Xenopus tropicalis: one gene and its partner. The protein of the gene in region 2 interacts with the protein of the main gene of each other region in a biochemical or structural test. Links are inferred from orthologs where the notes say so. Each region holds a gene or a part of one and is shown on either strand. Other genes may lie near its edges. The genes, in order: ccne1 and cdc25a.

Region 1 (11,409 bases), on a different chromosome or scaffold from region 2:
GAAACATGATGTCCCAGATGTGCTTAATTGGATTCAGGTCTGGGGAACGGGCGGGCCAGTCCATAGCATCAATGCCTCGTCTTGCAGGAACTGCTGACAAACTCCAGCCACATGAGGTCTAGTCTTCCAGTCTAGTTTCTTGTCTTGCATTAGGAGGAACCCAGGGCCAACCGCACCAGCTTATGGTCTCACAAGGGGTCTAAGGATCTCATCTCGGTACCTAATGGCAGTCAGGCTACCTCTGGCAAGCACATGGAGGGCTGTGCAGCCCCCCAAAGAAATGCCACCCCACATCATTACTGACTCACTGCCAAACCGGTCATGCTGATGATGTTGCAGGCAGCAGAACATTCTCCACGGCATCTCCAGACTCTGTCACATCTATCACATGTGCTCAGTGTGAACCTGCTTTCATCTGTGAAGAGCACAGGGCCCCAGTGGCGCATTTGCCAATCTTGGTGTTCTATAGCAAATGCTAAAGGTCCTGCACGGTGTTAAGGCTGTAAGCCCAACCCCCACCTGTGGAAGTCGGGTCCTCATACCACCCACATGAAGTCGGTTTCTGACCATTTAAGCATGTACATTTGTGACCCGCTGGAGGTAATTTTGCAGGGCTCTGGCAGTGCTCCTCCTGTTCCTCCTTGCACAAAGTCGGAGGTAGCGGTCCTGCTGCTGGGTTGTTGCCCTCCTACGGCCTCCTCCACGTCTCCTGATGTACTGGCCTGTCTCCTGGTAGCGCCTCCATGCTCTGGACACTACGTTGACAAACACAGCAAACCTTCTTGCCACAGCTCGCATTGATGTGCCATCCTGGATGAGCTGCACTACCCGAGTCATTTGTGTGGGTGCATGCCGAGGCATTGTAGGGAGGTCATACAGGCACGTGGCCACACACACTACTGAGCCTCATTTTGACTTGTTTTAAGGATATTACATCACAGTTGAATCAGCCTATAGTGTTTTTTTTCCACTTTTGAGTGTGACTCCAAATCCAGACCTCCATGGGTTGATAAATTTGATTTCCATTGATAATATATGTGCGATTTTATTGTCAGCACATTCAACTATGTAAAGAGTGAAGTATTTAATAAAAATATTTCATTCATTCAGATCTAGGATGTCTTCTTTTTGTGTTCCCTTTATTTTTTTTGAGCAATGTATTATTCCTAAAACCCATAAGGCTTTACCTTCATTATTATCAGCTCCATACTTGTAATCTCATCTTCTGTACAGGCGCCATCTGTGATAAATGCAAACTGATGCAGCTTTGGAGGGTATATTTCCTGCAATAAAGTAAAGAACTCACTTTATGGTAAGTTGACCATTATAGCTCTACCCAAAAAGAAAGTAAAAAACTTTACCAACCTCCAGCTTAGCAGCAATGAACAAAGATGTGATTCCAATAAGTTGCAGTCTACTTTTAATTACATTTTTTTGAGTTGCCATAAACCGATCAAAGAAATCTTGTCCTAGGTAAAATGTTTCTCTGTGAAGTTTGTACACTTCACAAACCTGAGGGGGGGAGAATACAATTAATATTTTATATATGCAAAACAGCTGCACTTGCTTTTAAATTTAAAAATGCCAGAGTATATGAAATAAAAAAAATGTGCAAGTCCTGCAAGTGCTTGTGGGAGTATAAATTTACATTATAAGGCTTATTCAGAAATGACTGCAAAACTTTACACTGAAGATTAATATTTCAGCCAGACAATTCCTAATTGAACACTTCACAGTATTAAGTGCTTTTACCTCATTTGTGTCTAATTTTGGTACTGTATGATGTGGCCATATGCCTCTAGAGGTAGCACTACCAGAAAAAAAAATGGCACTATTAAGTTAAGGAAGTGCTTCCAAAAAGACTACTGGTGTATCTAGTACCTCTTCCCTTGCCAGCTCTCCAGGGTGTGTTTTTTTCAAAGAAAGTAATGCCGTGGCAAAAAGATAACCTATGACATCTTTTCCTTGAAGGAAAACCTCCACCTGCAGAGACCATCTCAAAATTTACCAGTTCAAGCTGTAGGGGCAGTCATCAGTGCCTCTCAGTACCCCCAAACCAGGTAGTTATTTTTGAATTCCTGATTTGGTGGCAAGTTTTGGTTGAATAAAAAAAAAAAAAAAAAAAAAAAAAAAAAAAAGATTTACTACCAAATAAAGCCTCCTGTAGGCTGATAGTGTGCATAGAGGCTACCCAATAGCCAATCTTAGCCCTTATTTGGCAACTTTTATGATGCTTGTGTTGCTCTCCAAGTCTTTTTACATTTGACTGTGGCTCATGAGTAAGAAATGTTGGGGACCCCTGCTGTAGGGTATTGTTTGGGTCATTCATCCTGCTGTGACTTTGAAGCCGCCCTTCATTTTATTTCACTCAATTTTTAGTCTTGCCAGCAAGCTCCAGTTATTTAGGAATGGATTTAAAATTTTGAAATGCACAGTTATACACAATCACTGTACATATGCTAAACCCTCTTATCCAAGAATACCAGCTAAACAGTACTGCTGTGAAAGAACTGTTTGGTTGGTATTCTTTGGCTGGGTTTTGCGTATGTGCAGTGATTGTGTATAACTGTGCATATTTTTTAACTGGCAAAGTTTGCCATGGAGCAGTAACCCATAGCAAACAAGAGGTTTGCTTTTAAACAGGTGACCAGTTGATGCTACCTACTGATTGACTGCTATAGGTGATTAGGTGTAGCAAGTGTTGTACCCCATATTACATAATCTTTGGTGTATTATATCAACTAGACTAATCTAAAATACAATCCCAAGCAGATCATTCTGGAATCAATCAAGATCTCCACTCCAGCTTTCATGATTAGAGGAAGAGGAATATTCAGAAATTCTCACCACCTTACAAGGTCTTATCACATTGTCACTGCAGGACCTTTGCACTCTACTCCAATAAGCAGCGCCATTTAAATCAATGGTCTTGCTTAAACTATTGAAGGTGACTTTTTCAAGTAAGGTAGAGTTTTGAAGGCTAGTTAAAAAAAGGGAAAAAGGAAAAAACAGTACTCACTTCCATAAGCCAATCAAGGAGAATAGCCCTCATATTAGGTTGCAACTGAGGGTGTTTTTGAAAAAAATTCTTGTCCCTCAGGTAAGTTCGGTCTTTGTTCAACATGTTTCTCCAGACATCATCTTGATTCGCCCATCTGCAAAGTAAGATTGTACTTAATACAGAGCTAGAACATCTGAATTGTATGATTAAGAACAGTCATTAAAAGCAGAGGACATAAAAAACATGTTATAATGTAGAAAGTTGTATCCTTGGACCATTGCCAATGAACTCCCCCCCCCCCCCCCCCCCCAACCACTTTTCTTGCCATTTTTTTTTTTTTAAATATAAAAGGCAATTTATTTAAAACCAGAAAAAAAATTCTGATTTGTCTCAAGAGATCAAAATCCCAGGTTAATATTCCTAAAATGAATAGACCCCCATTATTATAAATTTAGAAGTAATTTTTTTTTTCTCATTTTGGTGAGATTAATGACTAAGTGCACAAGACTGATGGAAAGAATATGCACGGTTTTAAGATACATTTAGGGCCTTTCCTGGTCCTTTATCATGTCTCTTATGAGAAACAGTCACCTTACAATGTATTCACAGCACACAAGTCATTAAGGGAAGTTTACAAGTGCTTAAAATAACTTCCATATAAACATTATAGAAATGATATTGACTGACAGAAGCTTGATAAAGCGTACCCCTTCCTGCTGTTGGCCTTTAACAAGCAGGTGCCAGCCAGCCAGGCTTTTAGTTTTCAGAGATCAGTTCTGATCAAATCGTATCAGAGGGCAATTTCTCAAAATACAAAACCAATGGCCAACACATGTATCAACTGGATGACTAAGGACAGTAAGCCCCCAGGTCATATTACATGCAACTATGATGCAGAATCTTTACTTGGAAAAAGTCTGATACCTGCTGTGACATAGATAAGGTCTTCTTTATTCTCCAGTAATAAGATTCACTGTAATGAATGCTGTTTGCATCACACAGGAACAGGCCAGTCATTTCTTTAAATGAAAAACTTGCAGCATTCTTATTATGGGACACTAATAGCCAAAACTGTAAATGCTATGGGACAAAGGATGGGTTTGGTTCTGACAAAAAAAGCTGTTGTACGTGGATAAACAATAGCCGACTGATGCTACCAGCCCCAAAATATTTGCTAGCTCTAGTTTCATAAGGGGTAGTAAAAATACAGTTTATAATTCTGCAAACCAACACCAGAATCAATGCATCACAGAAATGTCTGCCACAGGAAACTATTTATAGTGAATATAAGTACTAGCAAAGACACCTGGGCCATGTAAATGTCCTTCCTTATACTGTATTGTAGATCGCAACTACTATTGCCAAACTGCCCTTGTACTAAATGTCTGTCTGAAAAGTAAAGTGTTACAGATTCAATTGTGCTATAACACCACCAACGGAACAGTCAAGTTACACAAGGCATGTACCCAAGACGTGGAAGAGGAGAAACGCTGACTGGACTGAACCGGAGAGAAGCAAAGTGCGGGTAGCTGGTAGGGTTTTGTTCGTGTTCCTCTTTTTCAGGTGTAGGGATCAATTTGTGGGGGCTTTTGCATATCATTTCATTGCTCCATGGTCCCTAATGATAGAACAAGAAGTGTATAAAGGCAGAAAAACTACCAGACTATTATGATTAACACAACAAATAAACAGTAATGCATGTCTTTTAAATAACTCTTTATTGATGTACTGGGATATAATTACATTTTCAGATGAAATTTGTCAAATAAAGTACAAAAGTATTCCAAAGCTAAAAAATCAGAGTCACTGGTTATTTGGTTAAACAACAATTACCAAGAAGTGGTACACAAAAACAAACTATAGATACATTTAAATTGAAAGATACCACCTTAGATTATTTAATGCCCTTTAATAGCTGACAAATTCTAAATTCTTCCTATGTAGTGAAAGCCACAAACCGAGAAGCTGTAATTATGTTTAAAAAAAAAAAAAAATGCAATATGTAGTTTATAAAAAAAAAAAAAAAAATGCAGAATCATGCACATCTATTATGCAAAGCAAGGCAACTGTATGAAACCAAAACCTGGCAAAAAAAAAAAAAAAAAAGACTTCAAATGTCCTGAACTCTTATGAAACTTCTAGGGCTGATTGTGTATTTAATAAATGCCTAAGTTTAGACTTTAGGGCTGTATGTATTAAATGTGACATTAACAAAAAGCTTGATTTTACTGCATCTTACTCTTAAATGGCTTTTACATAAAACAGATTATAAGTCAACTTAGTCACCAACTAGAGTTTAATGATGAAATCATAGCTTGATCTTTATCAGTTGTACTAAACAACTAGATGTCTATGACTTCTTCCCTCATTAGTACTGAATAGGGGGCCTATGCAATAATATCAGTTTGTTAGCAACAGTGATGATACACAAATTTATGAGAGAGAATAATATGAAAAGCAGCAAGTGGTAAAGGCCCTTATGTTAATTACCCTGTCTTGATATTGTTTTTTCTTTGTCATTTCCAAGCAATCCAAGGTCTCATCTGGATCTTGCAAGTACTAAAAAGGAATAGAAGAAACAAGTTGAGAATGCCAGAGCAGAGTTAGTCACACACACAGTGTCCAAAACTGCACATGGCCCTTTGTATGAACTTACAATAGCCACATCTGCCTTTCTCTTTCTGGAGCGCACAGAACAGCTTGCCCTCTCCTCTCCCTTTGTGCCTTTTTCAACTGGAGGATTGCTAGAAAAAGAATATTATTAGAAATAATAATATCAGGGAATGTAAAGTTTCACCTCTCTGACATGTGCTGGTAGGTTAGCCATCTTTGTACACTTACCTTATCACGGGCATTTCAGGACTTTTTTTGAATGAAGGTTAACCTTTCTTACCCTGAAATTCAAGAAAGTGAAGGTTAAATTTAAGGCAAAACCCGGATTTAATTGAGAAAATGTTAGTAATGTGTTCCCCTGCCCCCACTAATGCTTTGGCGCCGGGAAGAAGGTGGAGGAAGGGAGGGTGGAGATGCAAAACAAGGCCTGAGACTTCCCTGCTTGTTACTGTAGATAATGTATAGCAGCACCCACAAAGTGTCACCCCGTACCCCGAGATCTTGTGCATGCAGCAGTCACAGCCAAGTGAAAGTAGGCTGAGAAGATGGCCGCACAACTTGTACTTAGTGGGGGGAAGGGACTAGACGTGCTTCCATCCCCCCCTAAGTCTTAAAAGAAGCAATTATAGTCGATTAATACACTCACAACAGTATCCCTCATTACAATACCTTCCGTAGACACAATATTTAACCCCTTTTGTACAGGCTATGAACTTTTGCAAAGCCGTAAAGCACGGATGTCCAACATGCAGCCCTCCGGCTGCTGCTTTAAAGTTGAACCCCTGAAACTTTGCCTGCCCAGAATCTTGTTGGGCAATCGGGAAAAGCGTGAAATGGACGTGTCCGTTGTGGGCCTTTAGGTGCATCGGTAAGTAGGTCAGAGACTTACCCACACACTGGATCCAATGGCGAAATGCTCGAAGATGGACAGAAGCAGATGGGAAGAGGCGAAGGCTAAAAGTTCTGTATGGGACAAGAGTATAAATATATAGCAGCGAGGGATGAATAGCAGGATATTGGGGAGACTTTGGCAATAACTTAGCCGTAAGTTAGGTGCATAAATAGATATATATTAGGTTCTTGTTGGGTAAAAGGAATAAATAGGACTAGCAATATACAGCTCGTTGCTGTAAGGCGACTTTGTGCTGTGCTTGGGGGTCTGTACAATGTGCAGCGAGATAACAGGGAGAGGGGGCCTGGGTGCACGCCGAGCCTGCAGCTGCTCCTGGCTCCGGATGGCCGCACTGAGCTGGCGGGTTCAGCCTTTATATGACAAGCGGCGGCACATTCAAACTGCAGCAGGCGCGCTAGCTTCCCTCTTTCGCCAACATCACCCCCAGGCTGCCACTTGGAAATGACCTCGTCTCCCCTCAAACTGAGGCCAAGTAAAAAGTTACAGATGCAGACCAAAGCCGGCCTCCCCACCACCTCCCGGGCCGGTTATAAACACAAGCAGTGCAGACACCGGCAAGAGGGGGCGGGGAGAAGCAAGTTTGGGGGCGTGTGGAAAGAACTAAGGGGCGGGCATCCGGAAGTCGGAAGAGCCACGTGGTTTGCTGAAGCTGGATGTAAACAAGAGGTTCCTGGGAACTGGGGGGACCGGCTTTTGGTAAGAAAACCTCTATTTTGAAACGTTATGGGTTTCTTTAGCGGACTAGCTGTGTTTGAATATCTCTTCTACGCAATTCCTCTGCTGAATCCCACACGCCGCTTATATTTATTGCCCTAATAATATCGCGATGCCTTTTAATAAGGACATTCTAAAGTCATGCATGTTTGTTAGATGTCCACTGTCCGACATAATGCTCGCATGTGATGTTATTAGTGTGCTCAGTTAAACTGAGGTTCTTTCTGTAGGTTATTCTGTGGCATGTCCAGGTGCCTTTGTTATCTGACAGCTTCATTACAGGAGTTTAGTATTGTTCTTGTTGTCAGTTACCCTCTCCCTTTCATTCCATCTAGAAAGGGCATCTGTTATGTATTATATACACTGCATTATATGTTGTTTAGCAGTCGGGGGAAGGTATGTGGGTATACAAACTACATTTTACAGATTATTACATTAGCCATATAATAAGGTTCTATGTGAGACGTGAGCATAATGGAGCCAGTGTCCCATGTGCAGCAGCTACTAAGCAGCAGTTACTCATTTTTTTAATGCAAGGCTACCTAATTGATGTATACTTGCAGTACCTTTTATTATTACCCTTATGAGAAATGCAAAAAATAAGCCTCAGACTTACGGCAAACACAAAGACTTATTTAAAACAAAATAAAGGTGACCAGGCCATTGAAGATGTTTTAATAGTCTATGGACAGATTATTTTCTTTTTTTTTTCTTTTTTAAAGCAATGACAAAGCAAATAGTATACAAACCCCTCAAAAAAACATAACAGCGCTGTATTCTGTTTGCTCTTCTGCAGTGGTATTAGGATGGGTTGTAATGAATCCATTGCAATGGAGTTGACATACTTGTTGATACGTGACCGCATATGATAGTAGAAATGAAGCACCACAGGTGTGTGTGTATATATTCAGTTTTAGCAGACACCTACAAAACAGTAAACACTGGAGTTACTGCACAGTCTGGTTCTGTTTAGTCTGTCAGGGTTGACATCAACAAAGTAAAAAGAACAGAAGCAGAAAAAAGGTTCTCTAAACTGCCATTTTGTCTGACACATTATTTTGTCACTGTAGTTTCTGGTAGGAATCATAATGGGACGCTCATTTATAAATCTCTTGAGTGGTGCAAGTTGCAAACTTGGCCATGCTATTTAGAGCTTTGACCTTCTTGCACCAACCACACCAAAGTTAATATGCCAACAAAACTACAGTGCAAAGTTAAAGGACATTGAAGAAATTTACTGGGAGTGATAATATGTTAGACATCAGGGCAGGCACTCCTCTTTGGTAGAAAATGCACCAGCCCAGTGAATAAACTAAGCAACTAAATTCACTGTGACCTGAGTAACTTATTGCTGCTCTAAATTTAGCTTTTCTTCAATGAAGTTTTGATGTTTAATTCACAGCAACAACAACTCATGAATGTTGTGCAAAATGCCTGCTAGACAAAATCTGCAGCTATTATATTGAAATACATTTAGCTACTAGGCATTTGTGAAGACCAGTAGCAAATGCATTTAGTGATTTCCCCTTGCATGAGCAGCATAGCAGAATAGAATACAACTGGAAAGCATGTTGGAGAATGCCCACAGAGATGCAAATGCATTTTTTGTTGAGATTCTGGGCCAGCATTGATGCTGTACTAATTTGAAGTGCATGCATTGGACCCTGGAGTTCAGGGTTCAGACAAAGAACAATGGGTAAAAACTTTGATGATTGCGCCAATTTAGCATCTTGCCAGAGTTTATTATTGACACATTGGATGTGTATTTCTGCATATATCATTGGCTGCTTGGATTTGAACAGATCTTAAATACACAGACTCCAGAGAGATTGGTATTACACATACTACCAAAATGTTGTGTTTCACTGTGTGCAAGCGCAGAAAAGCTGCACCTGTTTGCCTTTGTATAACATAAAGGAACCGTAACAACAAAAAATTAAAGTTTTAAAGTAATTAAAATATAATGTACTGTTGCCCTGCACTGGTAAAACTGATCTGTTTACTTCAGAAACACTAATATAGTTTATGTTAGCAAGCTGCTGTGTAGCAATGGAGGCAATTCAAGGGCTAAATGGCACAGATTAGCTCTGTTGAACACCATAATTTTCTACATATCTTATTTGCTATGTAACCTGTCCCTTTTCTCCTTTCAGTGGCTGCCCCTTTGGCGACACAGCAGCTTATAAACTATAGCAGTTTTTCGGAAGCAAACACACCAGTTTTACAAGTGCAGTATATTATAATATATTATATTTTAATTACTTTAAAATACTTTAATTTGTTATTGTTACTGTTCCTTTCAGTGCATCGTGGCATACTGTTATCACACTGGCAAGTAGACTGCTGGGCAACACTGGGACTCTTCCGGATCTGGCTCAATCAAGTAAATGGTCAACACAACATCAATGCATGCTGTGGCCTTTTGTAACTAAATGTGCAATTTGGAACTTTCCATAGGCACTATTTACATCAGTCAACAATTATGTTAGTGCATTTAAACTGGAATGTACACTTTAATCACATATTTATTTTGTAAGTGCAGGTGGGACTGTGTCACCTGTCAATAAAACAATGAGTTTGTCATAATCCTATGTTGATTTTTTTTTTTAATTGACATTTTCTAAAATAGTTTACTTGCCCTGTGGCTCAGTAAGGTGATATCTAAATCAGTAATAACAAACTGGCTGAACATATGTGTGTATGCATGTAGAAACAGGCAATGCTAAAGTGCACAGTTGCACATAATATTGCATTTTCATGCCTGTGAAGAAAAATCATTAGTAATTAAACGCCCACCTTTAAAAAAAAAAAAAAAAGTCCTACCACTGTGGTAGAGCTTTGGTAAATAAACCTTTTTCAAAATATAATGCATTAAAGGACAATGAAAGGTTAATATAAATTAAAAGTAAGTCTAAAGTCTAAATTCTTTTTAAGTACTTACTGCATATCTAAATTCCCAGATCCCTGCTTGCTTCTCTGAGATATGGTGCTGGCAGCCTACAGCAGTGTGAAGACTACAGTGACATCACTGAAATCGCTCTGTCCTTCCTGTAGGTGCCAGCGGCAGCCTTCCTATTCTCTGAGCATGTGTGTAACTTGATCCTGTCTCCTGTTCTGAGCTACACATGCCCACCAGCCAATCAGAAGCGGATCTGGCAGAGGGGAGGGGAGGGGGGGAGGGAATGAAACACATGTGCAGTATGAAGCAAGGAGGGAAAGGAAGGGAAAATACCTTTTTAGAGATGGCTGCCTGTTCTAGAAAATGTGAAGTAAGTGTGACTGAGTAAATATTTGATTAGGTGAGCCAAAAGTGTGGCGTTTTTACTAAACAATTGGGCAGTGTGGGCAGTGTGCTTTTTAAATTTTGACTTGCATTCTCCTTTAACAAAAATGGCTATTTTACTTAAATCTGATTACTCTGTTTTTGAATTTATGCTATCTCCTTGGAAGGATGGGGTTGCTGGTCACTTCCTCTACTACAAAGGTCTAGAATTTGTCAGTGTGGAGTGAGAATCAGCACAGTGGTGCTCAATTATTAACAGTGGGTAAATTTGCCCAGTTTGTCCTATTTTGTAAACTAGGTACTGGTGCACATTTTTAAACGCTAGGCAAATTTGCACCTGGGCAGTAACCCATACCAACCAATCAACAATTGAGTTGGTATAGGTTAGAAGCATGTTTGCAATAATTAATTAGATATACACCTGCCACCTTAATGGCCAAATGATCGACAGGCATAGGAGCCTTTGGACAGAGGGTTGCACTAATGATCCGATGCGGGAAAATGAAACCTGCCCAATCAACACCTGGCCAGTTTTCGGCCAGATATCGTTTGGAGAGGCCCATCAGGGCTCTTATCAGGGGACCTTGTATGGCTACCTTTAGAGTGAGTCAAGCTTTGGGAACACTGATGGGGAAAAGTAACTGGTTTAAACAGGTTATAAAATCTATAAGTTTGTTATTTTAATTGTAAAAAAGCAATGAAGAAGTGGATAATGTGTTTTTTTAACAAAGAATGTTTATATTTGTAGACCATGAAGTTCTTACAACTCTTTGGAACGGTCAAGCCTATTGTAATAGGCATGGTGCACGTAAAGGCTTTGCCTGGTAAGTAGATTCTTTAGAATAAATTAAGGCCCTGCATATTTCTAATGACGCTTTTCTCATT
Region 2 (10,738 bases):
ACCCCAGCCACAAGTGTATTCCATCCGCAAATCCTTTCGTCAAGGAAATCAAATTCTGGATAAACCCACTTAAAGCAGCAGTCACTAGGGGTGTCCTAGGGAACCTGGTTTTAGAGGGGCGGCACCACTACTGCAAAACTACTCACTAGCAGTCACAGCCTGCAAGCTGGCTAACGCCATTGGCTACAACTAAAACCAATAACTTCTGGCTGAGTAACTTGGAGATATTACAAGAAAGCAGAGCAGCCAACAAGTTTACTCAGTGAGTGCTAGATACCAAGAGATGAAGGTAAACTTCCATTTGGACCTATATTTGATCATCTCAAACATCAGCGGGCAAAGACAAACCTTTCTTTCTACCTCCAACCAGAAAAGGATAAAAACAGATTGAGGCCCCATGTTCAGAGAATCAAAAGGATATAGGCCAGGCAGGTCTTACTCATAACTGGACAGAGCTCACAATCCTTCCATCCATGATACTACAGGGAGGGCATACCCAAGAAGCATGAAGGTTTAGGAGCCACCATGTCCGGTGTTGGATCACAATATGGCAGACATTTGGCTTCAAGACATCTTCTCTTTAGGTACCAGCTAACACTTGACACATCAACCATTTCACCAGATCCAAGTCTCTAATCTCAGGGTGGGATACTTGCTCTTCAACACACAACGTTCCTTACTGAGAGCAATGTTTGAGAAGCCAACCCCCCCCCCCATCTTAGTTCTCAAAAAGGACCAAGTGGATAATGGCACTGTGGGTTTAACTTCTGCATGTTATCTAATTCAGGAAGACAGAATCTAACAAAAACCTAACTTTTCAGTGGCAAGTTCTGCACTTAAGCAGCATAAGGATAACAGGCAGCACTGGGATGTTTAAAAGCTCACTGTGCCAGGGCTGTTGTGGCACCCTGGGCCTTCTCTGATCTGGCTTCAGCCGAGGAAATGTCTGGCAGCTTCATAGCCTGTTCTACATGATTGGAAGGTAAGGCCATTTAGGGTCTGCCCTGCAAATCAGTTCATAAGAAAGCATTTCTTATTACCGGACCATAAGCACAATACATATGCCTATGGCAGGGTGCTGGGGAACATGTTACTGTAAGGCAAATCATACATAGCAGCAGAAAGGTCAAATTAAGGTTTTAAAAAGGCAGTTTTATTTTCCTGTAGTGGGAAGAAAAAGCAGCATTACATATAGTATGTTTCCTACAGGACATTACAAACCTTGTAACAAAAATACCACAAGACAGTCATGTATACCCATACATAGGTTTCCATAAGCAGCCCAGCTGGACCGCCCCGACCTTTGCACGGATAGTCGTGTATTTACAGTGTTCAATGCACAATGACTTCTCACCATCACTCCTTGCACTAACAATTTAACAGGAAATCAGCGTGAAAAATGCAGTCCAAACGGGCCATTGGGTCAGTGCCATGTTACAACTCTCAATAGGGAGTCACGGCAGGAGTCAATAGTACCGAGAAGTTCAACCATGACCAGGAACATTTGGCAAGTCGACAAGGTGAAAATTGCCTAGTAAGGAAGGGAGCTGTACTGTCACTTCCTAAAACATGACAACCCACGTCGTCAACCTTGGCCCCTTCTAGGTATTAAGTTCTCCACCTTCATTTTTAAGCCTAACATGTAAATGTGTAAGTGTGCGAAGGTGAAGAGTTAACACTAAGGGGTTATTACAAACACTACACATTGCAGTTACTCCATTTAAAAACAGATTAAAATTGGTCTAGGTCAGCTCTTTAGCACCCCCTAAAGGACCACTCCTGCCCAAATATCTGATGGAAGGACCACACAGGGGGCGGAGTGCAGCTGTGGGAGGGGTGCTCAGCCATACTGTTACTTCAGGTGCCCCTTTTATCCAACACTGGCCCTTGAGTAATACACAAAGCCTTGCTGATCAGTTCTCTGGCAGGACCAGTACCTATATCCTTACCTGTGAGCTGAATTCAGCCCTGGGGTGAAGGGAACCACAGTCTGATAATCACCACAACTTATTCAATAGTAAAACAACTCAAAAACGATAAAACATTTCTCGTCGTGCAAATCCTTGATTAAAAAAGGAAAAAAAAAAAAATCTTCTCAAAATTGAGAAAAGAGAGTTAATACTTTTAAACAAAATCATAAAAACAGCAATAAATACTGGCAGTGGCCATTTAGATAAATTGAACCTAAATGTTAAAATGCCCCCAGAGGAGATCAAAGCCAGCCAATGGCAGAACTTGCTCTCAGTTTGAAACGGAAATGGAATCCAGAAAAAAAAGTTGCAGGAAGTCTGCACTTTGGCCAACTTGGTGCCTTGAGCAGGGAAACCAGTTCTGCCAATGAGAATGCATGATATGGAATGTAACAGGTGGATCCGGTAGCAGAGAAGCCTGAGCTACAAGCATTCTATGGCTTCACGTTGCACCTTTGGGATCATTGATTAATTTTATACTCCATTTTTTTCTCACCCAAACAAACCATTGTTAAAAAAAAAAAAATGTCCATTCAATAGGACAGTGCAGTAGACAGATTCCAGAACTCTCAGCAATGAGTGCTGTAAGGCAGAACTGAATATGGCACAACATATGCCTGTGTCAGATACACCTCCTGAGGAAGGTTCATGTGCAAAGAAAACAAAGCAGAACAAGAGCGCAGAAGAGAATGAGTTTCATGATATAGTTTTATCTCCGCGGCTCTATCGGCTGCTCTGTGATTGAAAAGGCAGGACTGTGCGGGCACGGAGGCTCATAGTTTCTTCAGCCGGCTGTACAGTTCTCTCTTGCTTCTCTCCCCTGCCCATGTCCGGCTCTTCATGCGGAACTTTCTTAGGTCTTCTTTAAAGTCCTCGTGGTTCATGGGGCGGTAGGTCTGCGGCGTACAGTAGGTCTGGTAAGGGGAGAGAAACAGACTTCTAAATCTGATTCTGGATAACAGGTCCTATGCCTGTACATACAAAAAGCACTCACATATGCCCATTGGCATGTTACTTACCTTGCACTTCTGAAAGAATTCTTTATATCCACCATGTAAAATATAAAGCTCTGGGTAGTATAACTGCGGATATTCATTTCTATCTCTGTCTTTCTCCCGTAGAAACTTGCACCTGTAACAGAGGTTTGAAAGAATAAGCCGGGCATCTGAAACTTATGGCAACACACAGGGTGCTTGGTCGCCCACATTAAAGCCTAGGAGAAAAAGGTGTTGTTACTGGCGCTTTAATGAGAGAAAGTGACCCATACAGGGCTTCTCTGCCCCCTAACTCAAGCTTCAGCCATGATCTTTGCATGGCAGTTCATTTTCTAAATTTCTTGTGCATTAAAAAAAAAATGCTATTTAGATTTGCACCCAATTATTAAAGGGCAACTACACTAGCAAAGGAACCATGAGCCATTAGCCACAGGATCCCAAGTACTAAAGCTTCAGTAGTGTGGCTGCTCTCATAGCTGTGCTTAGGGTATAACACGGGGTTTGGAAGCATTTTCCGTTGCACTGATTGATGCGCCAAGGAAAGCAGTGTGGGACGACAAAAAGCCAAACCCAGTGAGCTGTCATTACTTATATACCTGCTCTCAATACACCCTTCTCCAATATCACCAGAGGGTGCAGGACAGACACCAGTATATTAGACAGCTGAAGATGGAATTGGGGCACAGGAAAGCGCTCAGTGGGCTGTGTTTACTCACATTCTGGGTCCCCGCTCCGACGAGAACTCACAGTGGAAGATTAAGATAACTCGTTTGGAACCATTTGACATGACTGGATTCTTTAGGAAATATTCCTCAGCCTCCTGCTCCATGTGAAGGTTAATGGCTCCCTGCAGAAAAAGCAAAGCACTGTGGTCTAATATATACCCATCTACCAACAACCACTGTCAGCCTTTAGTCAACATTTCCAGAACTTTTCGCAGCCATTACTTAATCACATCACCACAAAAGGAACCATCTTCTCAACTACGAAACAGTACAAGTAAAACCTACCTGTATGTGACCTCCTTCATACTCGTAGGGGTATCTACAATCAATAATCACGCATCGCTCAATAAAGGGGTCAAATCTTCCATTTAGGATGAGAACCATCTGCAAAAGTATAACATTATTTGAGAATACTGAAATGGCAGGGGCGGGGGGGGGGGGGGGGGCAAAACACTGATGTACAGGAAAGCTCACCAGTTCAGGAGTGATGTACTTTAGTTCCTGGTGCCTGCCGCTCACTGTCGGGAACAGGAAGACCTAAAAACACAACACAGAGCCAAGTCAGCCATGTAACTCAAAAGGAAGTGCTTGGCAAATTGAAAAACCTCAGTGTCCTGCCAAAATGAGTGGCTCACCTTTAACCTCAGTTAACTGTGTATCCTATAGAATGGTCTATTCCTAGCAACTCTTCAAATGTTCTTTAAATTACAGTTTTTTTAATATGCTGCTTCTACCTTTTTCAGATGAAAAGGGGGGGGTGTCACGGACCCTATTAGATAAAAAGCTATTGCCCTGTGGGGCTAATGTTTTGTTGTTACTTTGACTTTTCTGCCCACCTCACCTATTTATTAAGATTTTTGTTTATACCACTGGCTGGCTGCTGGGGTAAAGTGGACTCTAGCAACAGAAAATAAAAGACAAAATGCAAATTGTTTCAGACTTTACCTGAATGCAACACACCCAAGGTTGAGTTAAAGGTGGATTTTTTTTTTTTTAAGCAGCTCAGGTACTAACACTAACATTATGAACCAATAAAACCCTGCATTAAACCTAAACAGTAGGTTGTGTGTAAGGTCAGTCTCAAAACCCTGAACAGTCCATAACTGCAATTAATTTCAAATTGGACACAACGTAACATCACATGGGGGAAAACATAAAATACCTTTGAAAAGTCCCCAATGAGACTGACTTGATCGTTGTCCAGCATACTTTCTATGTTCTGACTGGAAAGGGACTTTGATCGCATTAATCTTGAGTTCTATAAAACAAAAAGGAGGGAGAAGGGGGAAATGTTATTCTCAAACTTAAAGGGAAGGGGTAGAAAAACCCCAACAGCATGTTTGGTAGAGCCGAGAACTCACTTTGTCATGATCCAGCTCTTCCTTTGCAATTTCAGACACGCTCCTTCGCCTTTTGCTCTTTTCTGGCGCGTCTTCGTCCGGCGTTCGCTCCACTCGTTTCAGTGCTGGTTTTGTAGTGCAGTTTGGCTCAGAGGCAGGTCGGACCTCAAGACACTGAGGGGGATACAGAAGTGAGGAGTAGGATGAAGGAGATATGTGGCAGGAACCAGACTGGCAAAGAGTGTAAATCATACGACTGGAACACTTACATTTTCAGTGCTTTTCATGACAAGGGGAGCCGTCCATAGGCTTGCAACACCACAGGGAAACTCTGTATCGTTCTACAAACAGAAAAGAACATCTTAATATCCATGGCATGCTTTATAATAGCACCCACCTTGGGATCCAGATTTATTCATGTACATCGGTAAAAACAGCAACAGCTTACCTCTAGGTCCTCTCCGTCCAACATATCCAAGAAGCCATCATCACTTCCCTCAGTGGAAGTGGAAGCAGCTGAGGATTTTCTGACAAAGACCATATCAGAAGCTGCAACTTCACTTTTCCTAGGAGAGGACAGCTAAACAAACAAAGAAATTGATTTAGTGTAAAGGTTAAATAAAAATTAGCAAAAAGCAGGGCAGAGGGAATAGAAAAAAAAAAAAAAAGTAGGGTGTCGGGCAGTTTATGTACATGTGGTGCAAGAGATTGTAGTTTTCCTGTGTCCTGAGCAATACCTGTAGCAATCCTACTGCTCATGCTACCTCTATAAATGGAGCAGGCCGGACAGGCAATCTGTAGATTTTGGTAAATGAGAGCTGCTGTAAGATGCCATAGATACAGTGGTTTATCAGTAAGTGAAGCAGATCCCACAGTCGCGGGAGGCATGAACCGGAGTCGGCTTCCTCTATAGCACCGAAAGATTGTGCACCCACATCTGCCTGCATCAGGGGTGGGCAGGCTTCAGTATGTGCCAGGCCCCGCCAAAGATTTATTTTGGGCAGGGGAGTCCAGCAAGGTATTGTCACACCACTGCATAGACCAGGGGTCCCCAACCTTTCTTACTCGTGAGCCAGTCAAATGTAAAAAGACAGAGCAACACAAGCAGCATAAAAGTTCATGGAGGTGCCAAGATTGGCTATTAGGGGCCTCTATGCACACTATCAGCTTACAGGGGCTTGTTGGGGGATCACTGGCATAGACAGTGACTATGTTTTGGCCTTCTGGGGGGCTGTTTGGGTATGTGTACTTGAAATTCCAGAGCCTATTTTGCATCTCAGGCCAGACATGCTGGTATGGGTGATCACTTTAAAAAAAGCTGGAAGAAAAAGGACAGCCTCACAGTCCGATTACTGCAGGGAAAAGGGGGGGGAAGGAAAGCTCAGTTGGAGGGGGTGGGTAGAAACAAATGCAAACAGAGGTGGGGGAGGCAAATAGAATATGTAAAGGGTGGGATGAGAGGAAAAATAGGAGGGTGGAAAATAAATGTGAAATAGGAAACAGATTTAAAATAAGCAAAAAGACAGGGAAAATGGGAAAGGAGTAGCACAAGATTAACAGGAATAGAAGATCAGAAGTAGAAGGGAGAGAAGAAAGAAATGTGGAGATAAAAAACTGAGAAGAAAACACATCTGGAAAAAGGATAAGTGGGCTATGGAAGCACAAGAGATTAGACACATACCATACACGCAGGTGCAGATTTCTGTCTCTGAACGAGACTTTCCTTTCCATCCCCATGGAGTCTTGAGCGGAAACAGCCCCGGGAACGCGGTCTCGCTGGGATTTTAAACTGAAACTTTTCCTGCAAATGAAACCCACAGTGATTGTGTCACATTATTGTGGTGATTTAAGGAGCCCCCACTATTAACCTTACCTCGTATCAACCGACTTTATTTTGTTATTGATTTGTAAGCACAAAAATGACAAAACTAAAACACTGCATTTGCTGCAGCTAATCTAAATCAGACAAATTCAACTTGCAGTCCTCCTGCTAGGCCACAACTACCATGGGCCAGTGTATGGGCCCTTGTGGCACATAGTTCAAGATGCTACTGTGCCATTTACTACCTGCTTTGCAGCCTTTTAACACCTTAGCAGGCAGGGCAGGGTTTAATAGCAGTTGATTGATATCCAATGCTATATAAGAGCTTTAGAAATGATTCTATGTCCATTTAAATTTGCCAAATTGTTATTACACGGATCTGGGAATAATATTTAAATGTCTCAAATGCATTTTCTTTTCCTGAATGACTTGATAATAAACTAGTACTTACATTCTCCTTGTTCTCCAGGTCAGCTGCGTGGAACACTTCACATTCTAGAGAGTAAGAGAGATTCCTCTTAAAGGCAGGGCTGGATCCCAGTAGGTTTTGCTGAATGGAAAAAAGGAAGGGGGTTAAAGTACTGGTATGTTACCAGCTGCAATGTCCCCCTTACACACCGACTGTGCCATCACTGCTGTGGGACAAAAACAACTCATTCAGCAGCCGAAAAGGAATGAGCAGCTACAGTACAAGGTCAGTGTGTACAGCACTACTAACACTGGTATGTTACACAATTAATGCTACTGATGTCAACCATATCAATGTTTAGATGGTACCAGTATATGAGATAGTTTAATATAAAACTCACCGGCAGGGAGTTCCTCCTTTTGATTGGTAACCTTGTGCTAGAAAGACAAAAACACCATTTTGATATGTGAAAAGATCAATGGAGGATGAGCAAGAAAATCTCTACATTGTCAGAACTATGACACTTTTGGTGCAAGTTGTAAACTCCTAGTTATCTACAACCTCGGCATGTTCTGTTTGTGACCCCACTGGGGCAGGAATGGAGTGCGTCACTTAAGCAGGTCTTTTCACGGCATTCTACTCCCTTGCTCAGACAAAGCAGCATGCATACTGGCCTAGGGACACTGGCTGCCTGTGTAAGCTAGATTAGCCTGTAAGTGGGCAGACATTTGGTGGGCAGCCTGAGACAGTGGTCCCTCGGCTTCCTCAGGTTTGTGAATGATTACACAGAACTTACAGGAAAGGGGAAAGAAGTGGGTGGGGTCAGCAGCCAAAGAAAGGATACTCTTCCTGCAGCCATTTGTATTTCTACAGAAATTCTCTTTAAATTCAGCTTAGTTTAACCAGGGTACCATGATTCCCACTACTGTATCTTTAACAAACATACTTACTGTCCAAGCCTGTCAGAATTCTGAGTCGATTTCTGAAACCTAAGAGGGAGAATAAAGTGCATTTTAAATATGAGCGAAAAGCAGTTATGGCGACTTCTGGGGAGAGTCAAGCAATGTGCATTCATATAACACTGAGTTGGAGACTCTGGAATGGATATCATTTGCATAGTTACAGGTATTTGTTAATTAAGCTAAACAGCGTGTAAACCTTATGAATGCCTGAAATGTGTTTTACTGGAAACAGCTGAAAATGGAGAATCACTGCCCCTTTAAAGGGGAAGGTCCATTACACACCATAGCAATCCCCTTAAGTTTGCCAGGCAGGCTCGCTAAACTGTGCCACGGGCAAAACATTTCAGCCCTGAGAAAAGCATGGCTGCCAGTAGTTTGATTTGCACTGAAAAGGTGAAAGCACAGATACGTACGTTTCTTCCGTGTCATTTAGATCCATCTTGATTGGAGAATCCAGACAGAGTCCTGCAAACAAAATGGGAGTCAGGTAGTGAGAAGCAAGAAAGACCTCCATTTACAAGTCACTGTAACCAGATCCTTACAATACATCTGTATATACTGAAGCCATTTATGTTATGGCAAAGACATACCAGCGTCCATAGATTCCGAAGAGTCTGTTCTTCTCATAGACCAGCGCTCTCCGAGCTTACGTGTCGGCGTTTCACACTGGCTAAAATAGGAAGAAAAAAAAAAAAAAAAAAGACTTTAAGGACGTCCTATAACTATAGTGGTATATTAAAAACAAACAAAAAACACGATTTTGAATCTTTGCCACAGCAACCAGAAAACAAAAAAAACATGCTTACTACAAACATAGAGGTTTTGCACTTTAATCTGAGGCTCAGTCATTTCAGTTATCACCCCAATACTAAATACAATGGATTATTCCCTCAGCACCCACTACTGATATAGAAATTGCTTTACACAGACTTTCAGCACTTCTTAGATATCACCTAGATGGCAAATGCATATGATTTTTGGGGGGGGGGGGGGGGGGGGGATACAAAGCTTTGCCTTAATAACAGTGTTCACAAAATGGTGCCTCCCTGCTGGCTGTGACTAAGTTCCAACACGTATAATAAAAAAAATTATATAGTTTAAGTTTATTTTGCTCAACTAACATGATAGAAAAGGACTTGGAATTATTTATTACAGGTCCACTTTAATGGATAGCCTGTTCCTAGTGGGCCATATGCTGCAGGACAAGTAGCCAGTTAAATGGCTCTCAGTCTGAGCGGAACTCTGGCACACATGGAACAAGTGGGGGTAAAATGACCCTCAGTACCCTGAGAAGGTTGTCAATCTACCCCCACTGCTGGGCACCAGGGCCTTGTATAAAAGACTATGGGTTTGCGGATTAGTTGTGTGCAATATTTCAGTCTGAGGAGCTGGGAAAGGTTTCTCTGAAACGCGGGGAATAAAAGGAAATGCACCACCCTTGCTGACTGTTCCACTAGTAGATTTTAGCCCCTTTATAGCAATGATCGCCTCCTTCTGCTTTCAGCATTGCTGGGAACGAACATGCCCAGGTTTCATTCCTAGTAACCCACATGTGCAAGGAAAATGGCTGCCATTCCACATGTGACACCCTGTTGCTGTAAATACTTAGGGGCATAACTCCTAAGTGCCATGTTTATTTGCAGGATGTCCAACAAGCCAAATGACTGCATTGCATGGAGATCCAGGCTGTAAACACATGACTGCATTGCACAGAGATCCAGGCTGTAAACACATGACTGCATTGCACAGAGATCCAGGCTGTAAACACATGACTGCATTGCACAGAGATCCAGGCTGTAAAGACATACTTTGCTGAAGTCCCACAATCACTGTGCCCAGTCTCAACAAGCAAATACATCAAATCTGCAGACATAAGTCAGGCACCCACTATAGTTTGTAAAGCCACCATTAGAAGGAGGGGCTAAAACAAAAATACCATTAACAAGCCAAGGAGGGGGCAAATGGGTTTCTTAAAACAACCCCCCCCCCATAGCCTCTGACCCATTCATCCAAACCTGTGTCTCTAGGTGCCTAGGTTAAACTACATCTCCCTGCACAACATAACATGGGATAATGGAAGTAGTTCAGCAACAGCACCGCAGACTCAAGATTGAGTAGAATGGGCCCTTGCAATAAGCCAAGCCAGGGTCCCCAATCCAGGAGATATTGATATACATAGACCATCATACAGGTTGTTTTGGGCTACAACCCCCAGCACCCTTAGAAAGTCTATGGCTGAAGGTACATGTTGGACACCCTCAGCAGAACAGATGTGACCATGAAGCCTTTTCTGTCCAACCCAACAGTCAAACCACATAAGTAGTAATTCCTCATGGCCATTACCTGCCCAGGCCTGCCAGTTGGTCCATATTGATAGCGAGGCTAGTGACCGGAGATAGGGCAGTGTCTGCCTCGCAAGAGAACAGGGACTTAACCACGGGGAGGCCAGAGAGGCGGTTGGATCCTCTGACATGAGCCGGAGCTGAACGACACCTCTCCATCTTCACACTGAAAA

The links.
Region 1: the proteins of cdc25a (region 2) and ccne1 form a complex in vitro, tested with the Homo sapiens proteins (2 studies listed by BioGRID). The link is inferred for Xenopus tropicalis from reciprocal best matches to the Homo sapiens genes CDC25A and CCNE1.

What each region holds. Positions count from the first base shown.
Region 1 is NC_030680.2:71,330,096-71,341,504, forward strand, and holds the start of ccne1 (G1/S-specific cyclin-E1), read right to left. Parts: upstream 6,160-11,409; 5' UTR 6,107-6,159; intron 5,896-6,106; 5' UTR 5,857-5,895; coding exon 5,843-5,856; intron 5,746-5,842; coding exon 5,658-5,745; intron 5,561-5,657; coding exon 5,492-5,560; intron 4,620-5,491; coding exon 4,468-4,619; intron 3,156-4,467; coding exon 3,020-3,155; intron 1,513-3,019; coding exon 1,366-1,512; intron 1,284-1,365; coding exon 1,188-1,283; intron 1-1,187. Other genes in the region: uncharacterized protein LOC549154, read left to right, coding at 6,969-7,223, 11,273-11,348. UniProt on the Homo sapiens protein: Essential for the control of the cell cycle at the G1/S (start) transition.
Region 2 is NC_030682.2:12,721,108-12,731,845, reverse strand, and holds the end of cdc25a (M-phase inducer phosphatase 1), read right to left. Parts: 5' UTR 10,725-10,738; coding exon 10,567-10,724; intron 8,894-10,566; coding exon 8,814-8,893; intron 8,689-8,813; coding exon 8,637-8,688; intron 8,251-8,636; coding exon 8,212-8,250; intron 7,699-8,211; coding exon 7,662-7,698; intron 7,403-7,661; coding exon 7,304-7,402; intron 6,832-7,303; coding exon 6,712-6,831; intron 5,611-6,711; coding exon 5,479-5,610; intron 5,372-5,478; coding exon 5,300-5,371; intron 5,205-5,299; coding exon 5,052-5,204; intron 4,949-5,051; coding exon 4,853-4,948; intron 4,228-4,852; coding exon 4,165-4,227; intron 4,075-4,164; coding exon 3,976-4,074; intron 3,813-3,975; coding exon 3,682-3,812; intron 3,102-3,681; coding exon 2,990-3,101; intron 2,885-2,989; coding exon 2,744-2,884; 3' UTR 1,132-2,743; downstream 1-1,131. UniProt on the Homo sapiens protein: Tyrosine protein phosphatase which functions as a dosage-dependent inducer of mitotic progression. Directly dephosphorylates CDK1 and stimulates its kinase activity. Also dephosphorylates CDK2 in complex with cyclin-E, in vitro.